Alligator mississippiensis: one gene and its partners. The protein of the gene in region 2 interacts with the protein of the main gene of each other region in a pairwise test. Links are inferred from orthologs where the notes say so. Each region holds a gene or a part of one and is shown on either strand. Other genes may lie near its edges. The genes, in order: EFHC2, MAPK9 and WDR62.

Region 1 (3,746 bases), on a different chromosome or scaffold from region 2:
CAAGCACCCCATGAAGCATGAGGTCATGGAAGAGGCGGTGTGTGGAAAACTGGAGCATGAACTGTGAAGATCCAGGGAGGAATTCATGAGTCTTTCACAGCTGGGTTTTATGAAAACTGGATGGTGAGTTTTTCAGAAGCACATGCATGTGTGCACATGTGTGTTCACACACACACGATGCACATCCACATGTGATCATCAGGGATCCTGGTTTTCTCTGATTTAAAAAAAATCCCCAATTTTTGGGTTAAAGAAGTAACCCAAAATCCACATCTTCCTGTGATCAAACCAAAACACTAATCCATAGACATATATATATAGCGGTGTTTCAGTTTGATCACAGCAAAATGTCGCTTTTTCTAACCCAAAAATTGGGGATTTTTTTTAATCAGAGAAAACCAGGATCCCCAGTCATCATGTGTACACATGTGATGCATGTACACTGCATGACATGCACACACACTCACACATGGCATGCCTACACACGATGCACATACACACATGATCACGTATACACACACACATGTACAAGCACCTGATCATGTCCGTGTGCGCACACGCACGCTTATGTGTGACATCCCTTCCCCCTCCAATCACAAAACTGCCTCAATGCAAGCAGCATGCGCAGGCGTGTTGTGTGTGTAATGGTTTAGGTTCCGCAGTGAATAATGGTCTAACCCTTATCACTACAGTGTGCACACGCGTGTGGACATGGTGAGGTTCACTGACTTGCCTCCCTGCTGTTAGACACCCCGGAGTGGAGTCCACCTCTCCATGTACTCACCCTTTACAGGAAGGCCAGGACTGGGGCTCTTCCCTCCAACCCCCCTCCCTTCCCCAAGCCCAGCTGTTCCCTTGCTCTTCTCCCCCTGCAGGACCTGGAGCCGTCGGAACAGCGCCCAATAGCACAAGATTTGCCCCGGTCGGAGTCAGTAGAGCGGTCAGCGGCAGCTGAGCCTGCGGTACCAAGGCCTGGGGCCGCGAAGCTACAGGGGGCAGCAGAGAGCAGGGGCGCCCTCAGACGCGCAGGCTCCCTCTGTGACGTCACAACGGGGCTCTAGGCAACGGGATGCGGCGCGGAGTCTTCCCTTTGTGACGTCACACCCCGGTCTCTAGGCAACGGGATGCCAAACAGCTCGCGCCGGGCCAGGTGTGGGGGTGCTCGGGCGGCAGCAGCGGGCCCCTCGGGGCCAGGGCTGGGGCGAGCATGGCGCTGCCGCTTCTGCCCGGGAACTCCTTCAACAGGAACGTGAGTGACAGCCGGGCCGGCGGCTCTCCCCCGCCCCCTTCACCCCCAGTCCCCGGCCGTATTGCTCCCGTGCATGGTCACTGGAAGCTGCGGCGACCTGCTGCTTGCAAGGCCTGGCTTCTGGGACCTTGTCAGGCACAGGCAGGGTGCGCGTGTGACCTCTGGGGCAGGGGGGTCAAGGGGCATGGCGGCTTTCAGCACCAGGTTGGCCCCTGCTCGGAGGGGATCGCCGAGCCCTAGGGAAGCAGGAGGTTACCTAGCCCCGAAAGTCAAGGAAAGTCCCCGTGGGGGTGCTGCCATTGCTGGGTTGGTGCCCCGAGGACTGACTGAAGGTGTAAGTTCATTCCCTGCTGTGTTTTGTGGTCACGGATGCTGCGATGCTATTATGCAGGTTTGCTTGCAGCAGGGTGAATGTGAGAGACCGAATGCCTGCCTGTGTTAGGCTTGCAGCAGATCGCTTCTTTGGACGGTCAGGGAAGTAGGTGCAGATGAGATCCGAGGCGCCAAACATTCTGTTCATTGACGGGGGTGCGGTTGTCTTCGTTGAAATCTGTGGCAAAATTCCTGTCATGCATGGACTGGACTAACAGCAGATATCGAAAGCAGACTTAGCTTAAATTCTGGAGTTTGCCATCTTTATTGTATTATTCAGGAGGTGAAATAGGAGCAAGAACAAAGTATTAGTGTATGCGGGTGTGTGTGCACACGCACGCATATATATACATACACATATATACGCACAGTTAGCTATTTCAGTCTGAAGTCAGTGGGATGGCAAGGCAGAGTGGCACATTATAGACTTAACTATTTCAGTCTATTTTAGTCTATAATTAGGTAGCCTATAAGGTGTCACTCTGCCGTGCCTTGTGTCTGTTATATATTGTTCTATAAGCACTCAAAAATTGCTTTTGTTTTTAAGTTGGAAAAGGAAATGCTTGGCACACAGGGAAGAATTGAGGAACTTAGCAGCTTCAACTCTTGTTATTTATATAACAAAGAAGAAAAGGAAGACAAATACACTGTAAACAGAGAATGTTTCAGAGTTAAACAAGTTAGGGATAATAATCCACAAGTTTGTAGTGTAGGTGTAGTGCCATAAGTACTTTTGACAATTTGTAAATCTATAAGACAGTATTTTTACAGCAAATTGTAAAATCAGAGTTGTTTCTCTTGTCTTGTGACATCTAGTTTAGAATATTTTGTAAAGAACTGGCTGGTGTGTATGTGGTTCCTCAGGTACCTTAGTGATGGGCCATGCATGGAAGAAGCACAGCTTAACCTAGTTTCTGATAGATAATATCCTGTTTTTGGTTTTTGAGCAGGATGCATAGAGTTGCCCCTTAAATTCTGAATAGAATTTTTGACAGCTGTGAAGTTTACATAGTCACAAATCTGACATGGTACTTAGCTTTACACACTAGAGGTCTAGATAGGGGATGCATACAAATGGTGGATGTGTTCAAATGCACATATATAAGTAGGCCTCTTTCTGCAGTCTGTGTTGTGAATGTATATATGCACACACACAATGCATATATAGTTCTGACAACTAACGATACAAAAACCAAGTCCCAGTTATAACAGTGAAACCAGATTAGGCTATTATTCAGAGCTTTAGTTCATCCCCTATTGTTATGCTTCCTACAGTTTGAATGCTCGGTAGTTGTAGAGAGGCAGTTCTACCTCCTGCTTCTGCTGTTGGCTGTTGGGCTTAATTTTTATCCATATAGTTTCACAAATTAAAGTCCAAAGAGGCCATATTCAAACAAACAGATGCTAGAACTATTTGGACTATGCCTACCACAGCTGCCATAACTTTCTCCATCTTCACCATGAGAATGGTAGATGCAGAGCAGCAGCAGAAGCAGCAGATGTTTTAGATGTCTGGAGGGCATTGCTTTCATACCGTAGGATGGAAACAAATGACATTTACTGCTACTACAAACCCTACCACCAGGCTGTGGATAAAACCAGCAACAGCAATAGTACTTCCAGGACAGGAATGACTGGTCTGGTCTTTGCTGCTCTTGTCACCCCCTGGTTTATTATTACTGCTGCTTTTTATGCTATTCCTCTTCTTGTTGCTCTGTGTATTGTCATTTAGTACTGCTACCATCACTTTTGCTGGTGGTACTGTTATTTCACTTGCTAAGCCAATGTGAAGGTCAATAGGAATGGCAGAAGGAGAAGCTGAAAAGTCTATTTTCCCTAATCTATACATGCGTAATCAGGAAATTTGTTTAATTGGGATTTCTCTCAGTGGATCTAGTTGAACTTTTGTGACAATTATTGGCAGTGACTCTAGCCTAATGGCAATCGTGACTGTGCTTGTTGGGGCCTGCAAAATGATTTTCTGGTGCTTAGGGCTTTGCGTCTTATTATAGTTTGGGTTCTGTACTTTTTTAAAATCTGCCAACAGTGCTCAGTGTCTCCTTAGCCATGAGACAGGCTTCATCACTTCTTGCTTCTTATTTTCATATCAGCTGTACACAATAGT
Region 2 (3,746 bases):
TAAGCACCTATCTCCATGCAAGAGTCTCGGTTGTGAACTGTCTCACTGAGTTAGCTGCTTGTACCAAGTCAGCCCTTTCTTACAAAAAATACAAGAGACCTCCCATTCCCAAATAGGACAATCACCTGAGAGATGTGAGCTGTTTTCAAATTCTGTTCTGCCAATACAGTGCAGGAACGGGACGCCAGTTCTCTCAAATTAGAGGACCCTAACCCTAACCACGAGGTTATCTGATATTCTGGAGTGAGACTCTTTCAGTATCTCCTAATGAAGTTACTCAACTATATATGCACGAATATGAAGTCCCTCACAGAGCCCAACTCTCCCACATGTCTCATGACTGCTCCTTACCACTGCGCTATGAAGCTGTACTCACTTTTTCTCTCCTTGGCCAAATAAATGTTTAATTCATTACGCAAAGCAGAACAGCTGTGAAAAGAGAATCCTCAAATATTTACAGTTAGAGCCTCCTCCTGTGCAAAAGCAGAGGTCTAGATCCAGCTTCACGCTGGGCACAAGGATTCAAACAAGGTGTCTGGCTCTCATAGGAATACTGGACGTAACTGGACAATTGAACAAGAAGAAGCACACTTCTGGGCAAGACAGGTAAGCTCTGAGCTTGTCTAATGGTTCAGGCCCTGCAGGAAAACAAAAAAAAAAAAATCAGTGGGGAAATCACCTAGTTTCTCTTTGCGCAGGGGTACCAAGCTGCTTGGCAACAGCAAGACACAGGCACTTTTGTGCTTGTCTACTACGCTTGTGCTAGACACTTTAGCCACTTGCATGGTTAAAAAATTTTTTTGCAAATGCTGATGGTGCCTGCATATCGACTTACATGCCCGAGTCCCTTGTGGACCTATCCCCCTTTGAATGCCCGACTTTGGGAAACTGGCCTCTGTTCCGACTATGGTCCATGAAAGCCAAGGAATATCAGTCAACAACCTGACTACAGTATCACGTACGCCACGTACGCCAGTATGAACATCATGTTTCACATCAGTCGATATAAAGGAGTCCTCTGGAATTTAGAAATAAACCTTCAATTTCAGAAAAAGGTTTTCAGCACCTGGTATCGTGATATTACTTCATCTAAAAAGGACCAACACACAAACAGGAAACAGGCATCCGTCCTCCGAAGGATGGACAGCAGCGACAACCCCTTTACAATGAGAATGCAACACATCTTCATCAATTGAAAAAGCTGCAGGATCATTATTTTGACCCGGCAGCCTTGTACTACTAAATTAAAAACAGGCACAAGATCGGATGATCCCATTTGAAAGCCATTTTGTTTGACAGAGATGTGTTACATGGAAGATGCCGAATTTTAGCTAATTTTGGAGGTAAAGCTTCATTGCTGAACATAAGAAAGATTTCTACACCTCCCTGCCTTTCTGCCACGTGACACCCCAAGGGAAGGATCCCTGCCTGATCTGCACATCGAAGAGCAACTCACAAAGACACCCCGAGGAGCGCACTCCCACCTTCAGCTTCCTCCGTGCAAAATGAAGTTGCTTTCCTACCCATGGGGACTTTTTACCAGCTTGAATTTTCCCCGAGCCGGAGGAAGCGGGGTGCGCGCCCGAAAGCTTGCAGAAAAAGACTTATGGGGGGGGGAGGGCGATTGCTTAGTCGGTCGAATGAAAGGTATCATCTCTGAACCGCGAGTGGCAGAGTTTTGCATTTCTTTTTGTTTTGACAAGCGCCGGTGACAATCACCGGAGGACTTTTACGGACCGCACGGCAAAGACGGACAACGAAACGCCGCGAGCACGTGACGGCGTACACGCGTGACCCGTAACAGCAGGGTTGAAGCGGCGCTTGCTGACTAACCAGATGGGATCCCTGTAGATCTTCACGTCACATCAGCTTACATGGGAGACAAGTGGGCTACTGCGGTTTGAGAAGCGCTGCCCGCGCCGCTCGGGACACAGGGGAAGGACGTGACGGCGACGTCCCAGGTGGAGGGTCCAGCTAAGAGGGAAAAGGAGCAAAACCTTTTAAGTTTATCAAGGAACAGACGAGGTCCCCGAGACGAGCCGTGCCGTCTCCGGTCCCCCTTCCCTACACCTGCAGCCTGGCGGGTGCGGGGGGACCTGGCTGTCGCCCCTCAGGCGAGCCGAGCGCCCGTCTCCTCCGCGGCGCGGGCCGGGAAGGACAGGCTCCCGGGTCCCCGTCGCCCAGGCAGGGAAACCAGCCTGCCCGCAGCATCCTCCGCCAGCCCCAGGCACGGGCGCCAGCGTCCACCCCAGGAGCCCCGAGGCCCCAGCCAGCCTGGAGCGGCGAGGGCGGCTCCCAAACCCCTTGGGCCGCAGAGCGAATTGCCCCGCGGGGGGCTGCAGGCCGCGGCCGGGGAGGGGCGGCAGCGGCGACCCCCGCGGCTGAGGGAAACTTCGCGCCAGGCCCCGCCCCCCCGCGGCCTCCCCGCTCCGCGCCTCACCGTGCGGCGGCCTGGCCAGGCCGGGCGGGCGGGCGGCGCTCGGGTGCCCGCTCGGCGCCTCCGGCTCGCAGGGCCGCCCCAGCCACAATGGCTCCCCTGCCCCTCGCAGGCCGCGCCAGGCCAGACCGGCTGACGGGCGCGCGCGCCGTCCAATCGTCGCGCGGCGCCGGGCGCGCTCAGCCAATCCGGCTGGAGGCGGGACCTCCTCAAGACACTATATAAGGGAGGGGACTGCAGTGGAGACAGGGCGGCTCCGGGCCGGGCTGGGCCCGAGCAGCGCACGTCACGCTCGCCCCATCTTGGTGATGTCATCTCACGTCAGACTGCCCCCAGCTCGGTGATGTCATTCCACATCAAACTCTCCCCAGCTTGGTGATGTTATCCCACATCAACCTACCCCCAGTTTAGTGATGTCATCCCATGTCAAACTGCCCCCAGCTTGATGTCATCGCCCATATCAAACTGCCACATCTCGGTGATGTCATCACTCACATCAAACTGCCCCCAGCTTGGTGATGTTATTCCACTTCAAACTGCCCCCAGCTTAGTGATGTCATCCCATGTCAAACTGCCCCTAGCTTAATGTCATCACCCATGTCAAACTGCCCCCAGCTTGATGTCATCACCCACGTCAAACTGCCCCCAGCTTGGTGATGTCACCACACACCTAAGTGCACTGCCAAATGATGGGCTATTTACACGGCAAATCACCGTTGTCAGCTGAGGTGATGTCACCCCCCCCATCCAACTGCCAGGGTGAGGCGAGGCAGTGTCAGCAGCTGTCACCAAAACCCCCGGGTGCCGTCACCCTGCTCCACCCAGGAAGCGCTGCCAGGCGAGGCGGGAGGAGGACGCGGCCCCGTGACACGGGGGCGGCAGTGAAGAAGCCGCCTGCCGCTGCACCGCAAGATGCGGTCTCTGAAAACCAAGAGACTGCTACAAATGACGCTGCCCGAGGTGGTGACCTCAACCTCTCTTCTTTACCACAATGCATCCACCAGGAAGAAAAAAATGGCATTGCCTGGTCCGCCCGCCTGTCCCTCATTTAAAAAAAATGGAGTTAATAATAGATACTGTATATTTTCTGTAATTCACAAGAGAAAAAACAAAAGAACTGCCATTAAGCGGATCAGACCGCCGGTCCCCCTCACCCCGCGGCTCCCGGCATGCCATGGCAAGGAGCGAACGCTGGACGGGAGAGCAAACTGGGTCTTGCCAAGGTGTTTTTCCCCCTCTCCCTCTTGCCGCTCTCCAACATTTAAGGTCCAGGAAGCACCAGTTCAGAAGCTGTACCCCCAATTCCCAT
Region 3 (3,746 bases), on a different chromosome or scaffold from region 2:
TATTTTAGATTTCCACATCCCATGAGCCCCTTCCCCTCCTGTTCTGACTATTGCACTGCGCTCCCTCTGCTAGCCCTAGGGCGCACGACCACTTATCTCACCCACGCCGGGAACTGCTTGGGCAGCAGCTACAATTGGCAGGGCTCCATTTGCTAAGTCTAAGACAATGGAGCAGGAGTGTTACCAGTTAATAAGGACAATTTATTTCAAGATCTCGTTCTGTTCTGTTCTTGCATTACGGGGGGGCACAGCAAGCGTGTGGGGGTCTCTTGGGTGGTTACGGCATCGCACATGTTGCGTGGTGTCGATGGTTAGAGATCCCGTGCTGGACACGGGGGCGGTACCCGGGTTGTAGCTGTATGGGTCTAGAGGGAAAGGCAATCAGGACTCGTTGTAGAGGCGAGATCTTTTATTAGACCAGCAAGATTTTTGCAAGAAAAAAATAACGTCTTTAATTGAAAGCCTTCGGGCACAAGACGCCCTTCATCAGGCATCGGAGAAAAGATTGCGAACGCTGTCCTGGGCAGAAGTGAGAGTTCGCATTTCAGAGCATTGCACAGAGGAGTCATGGATGGAAAACTCCTCCGGGAAATTGGGGTGCGCATCCTAAGCAAGGAAATACGGTAACAGCCATTTCTGGATCCCGGGGCAAAAGGGGTGCCCTGCCTGCTGGTGGTGCTGGAAGCTGATACTGGATAACTGGCATTTTGAGGGGAAAAATTTCACCCTCCCCCTTTTTCCCTTTTAAAAACAAGGTGTTTTATGAGCGGGGGTGTTGTATGCGAGTAAATACGGTACTCCTTTTGGCCTCGTGACCCCGCAGTCCTGTTCTGCCCGGGGTACAAACGCTGCCCGCCCGCAGGGGCTGCCGCGACAAACACACCAGGCCTAAGAAAAAGTTATTTAAAAGTTTGCTCCAGGTGGAGGGGCTGGGGCTCGAACCGCCAACCCTAGCGCAAGAGGCGAGAAAAGGGGCGGGCCTACACAGGGCGCCACCATTGGCTGAGAGCGGCCGCGATTGACGCGCCTCTTGGCCACTGGAGGCCGCCCGTCGGCGGGGCACGAGTGTATGATGCAAACGCCGTTGCTATTGGCTGAGGCTGGACGGAGCGGCTCGGCAAGCGCGAGGGGAGGGCGGGACTTCATGTCAGCGCCGCCGCCATTGGCTGGGAGCGGGCGCTGAGTGGCGCGCGCGGTGCCCAATGGGGGGTGGGCGCGCGCGGTTCGGAGCGGTTGCGGGGGTTGGGTCCGGCCGGGCGAGCGGGAGATGGCGGCGGCCGACGGCGGCTACCACACACGGGGCCCCGGCTCCGGCGCCGACTCGCCGCCGCTCCTCAGCCTCCGGCGGAGGTCCAAGCACCAGGGGCCGGAGGAGGCGGTGAGGGGGCGGGGCTTCGAGGGAGGGGCGCCCCGTGACTCGTTAGGGGCGGGGCTTGGGTGTGGCGGACGGGGCTAGTGTGGAATAAGGGGTGGGGCTTGGAAACGTACAGGGTGGGCGGGGTTTGGATGACAATGGGAGCAGGGTGGGCGGGACTATAGTGAAGGAAGGGGCGGGGCTTGGGTGACAGGTGGGGATGTGCGTGGGCGGGTGGAGTTACGTGGATAACGGGAGCGCGGTGGGCGGGGCTAGGGGGTTAAAGGGGGCTGGGTGAGGCACAGGATGGGCGGGGCTACGCGAAGTAGGGGGCGGGGCTATTTGGACTAGGGGCGGGGCTGGTGAAAAGGGGCGGGGCTTTGCGAGGATGGGGGCTGAGCAGGCAGTGGAGATAGGGGTGCCTGGCCCAGGTGCTGGGCTTCACTGCCCCTCTCTCTGCTCTGGGCAGGTGATGCTGGAGAAAGTGCTGGGCATAACCGCGCAAACCAGCAGCGGCTTGGCCTGCGACCCCAACAGCGGGCGGATCGCCTACCCGGCCGGGTGAGTGTCTGGGCTGCTCGGGGAAGGCGGCGTGGGGTGTAGCCCCTCCGCGGGCCGGGCCGGCGGGATCCGCTCCCAAGTAGCCCCTCGCAGGCGGGGCCGCTACCCCCCGCAAGGGGAAACCCGCCGTTTCCCGCGGCAACTGGGAAACCCGCAGAATCGGGGACCGTGCTGTGCTGGAGTTGTGCAGCGCGCAGCTCCCGTGCTGGAACTGTCCCGCCCGATTCCTCGCGGGCTTGGTCGCTCTGGTCGCCTTTCTGTCAGTGGAGGCTGACATCGTAGGGCTGCTCGTGGGCGTACAAGTTAGATCTCCTGCTAGCACAGGGCGGGTGGTTATTTTGGGCCGAGGGCCACTTACTGAGTTTTGGCAAGCCATCGAGGGCCGCGTGACGGGCAGCCACGGGCAGAAAAATATTACATTTCTAAATTTTTTAGGGGCCTCGCGGGCTGCATTTTGCCCACCCCGTCCTAGGATCTGACCTGATATTGCAGTACCTGTAAGCCCCTAAATCAGGGGTTCTCAGGCCCGTTAGACTCGAGCCCCCCTTCTAAAAATGCCAGATCTTTGCTTTCGCTTGTGGCTTTTTTCTCTCTGCAGCAAACCCTCGACCCTTCCAAACTCTGACGGCGGCTTCTCCTCGACAGCCGCCACCACTGCGAACCAAACTGCATGTTCAGTAATGCAAATGCCTTGTCTGCTTTTTTTTCGTTTCAGATGTGTGGTTGTGATTTTAAATCCCCAAAAGAATAAACAAAGACACATCTTTAATACTTCCAGGTATTGTAAATACTTCATCTGCTGGCGTGTGGATAGCGTATAGGTCTCCAGATGTGCTTTTCGGGGGGGTTGGGCTGCTGAGGCCTATGGGATCATAGGAAAGTTGGCTTGGAAGGGACCTCAGGAGTGACGTCTAGTCCACCCCCCTCCTCCCAGCAGGATCAGCCCTGATTAACCCACCCCAGCCGTGTGCATCTCCACCCTGCTCTGGAAAATCTCCATGGATGTCACAGTTTTTCTAGGTAGCCTCTCCCAATGCTCGACTACCCTCCGAGTCAGAAAGTTCCTCCTCGTTACCAACCTCGGTTCCACCTGCTGCAGCTGGGGGCTGTTGCTCCTAGTCCTTTCTCCAGCCACAGAGAAAAGCCCATCCCCATCCCCTGTCGTCGCCCTGCAGAGATGTGAAGACTGTTATCAAATCCCACTTCGGTCTTCTCTTCTCCAGACTCAGTAACCCGAGCTCTTTCAACCTTTTCTCATCAGTCTTGCTTCCCAGGCCTTTCATCATTTATGTTGCTCTCTGCCGGACTCTTTCCAGTCTCCCTTTCCAATCTCTCATTCGGCTCCAAGCCGGGTTAAATGTACGACCAGCAACACTGCCCACAGCTACTGTCTGTGTGGTTCAAGTGGCATTGTGAGGGTGGTTAAACTAGTGTAAATGTTATGAATAACATTTCAGTGTAATCTGAAGATGTTCTCTCTCTCTTCCAGGAAGACACTCAGTGCTCTGTCTTTCTCACCCGATGGAAAATTCATTGTCACTGGTGAAGTGAGTTGTGCTATAGTATATTAACGTAGTCCTGTTGGTAATGAAGTGTCTGCTTTTTTGGCTAAGGCCAAATGCTCTGAAATCTGGGAGTAACTTCTTGGCTGCCATAGTAACACTAGGAACAATGTCCGTTTGGTACCTTTTTGGGTTGAAGAAGCCTTTCCAGGTTGGACACTACTTGAACTCTGGCCATTTGACCTGGTAATGCTTACTTTATGTTCTCACATACCACACGCACCTTTTCCCTCCCAAATCAGCCCCCCTAAATTGGGGTGTGTGCATTA

What was found.
Region 1: the proteins of MAPK9 (region 2) and EFHC2 interact in binary tests that used the Homo sapiens proteins (3 or more experiments, as listed by UniProt). The two-hybrid records come from large-scale screens. The link is inferred for Alligator mississippiensis from reciprocal best matches to the Homo sapiens genes MAPK9 and EFHC2.
Region 3: the proteins of MAPK9 (region 2) and WDR62 interact in binary tests that used the Homo sapiens proteins (3 or more experiments, as listed by UniProt). The two-hybrid records come from large-scale screens. The link is inferred for Alligator mississippiensis from reciprocal best matches to the Homo sapiens genes MAPK9 and WDR62.

The regions. Positions count from the first base shown.
Region 1 is NC_081824.1:302,541,997-302,545,742, forward strand, and holds the start of EFHC2 (EF-hand domain-containing family member C2), read left to right. Parts: upstream 1-1,047; 5' UTR 1,048-1,207; coding exon 1,208-1,249; intron 1,250-3,746. UniProt on the Homo sapiens protein: Microtubule inner protein (MIP) part of the dynein-decorated doublet microtubules (DMTs) in cilia axoneme, which is required for motile cilia beating.
Region 2 is NC_081832.1:73,863,384-73,867,129, forward strand, and holds the start of MAPK9 (mitogen-activated protein kinase 9), read right to left. Parts: upstream 2,542-3,746; 5' UTR 2,441-2,541; intron 1,975-2,440; 5' UTR 1,834-1,974; intron 639-1,833; 5' UTR 459-638; exon of another isoform or gene 377-458; intron 1-376. UniProt on the Homo sapiens protein: Serine/threonine-protein kinase involved in various processes such as cell proliferation, differentiation, migration, transformation and programmed cell death.
Region 3 is NC_081838.1:953,503-957,248, reverse strand, and holds the start of WDR62 (WD repeat-containing protein 62), read left to right. Parts: upstream 1-1,223; 5' UTR 1,224-1,267; coding exon 1,268-1,378; intron 1,379-1,823; coding exon 1,824-1,915; intron 1,916-2,630; coding exon 2,631-2,693; intron 2,694-3,404; coding exon 3,405-3,462; intron 3,463-3,746. UniProt on the Homo sapiens protein: Required for cerebral cortical development. Plays a role in neuronal proliferation and migration.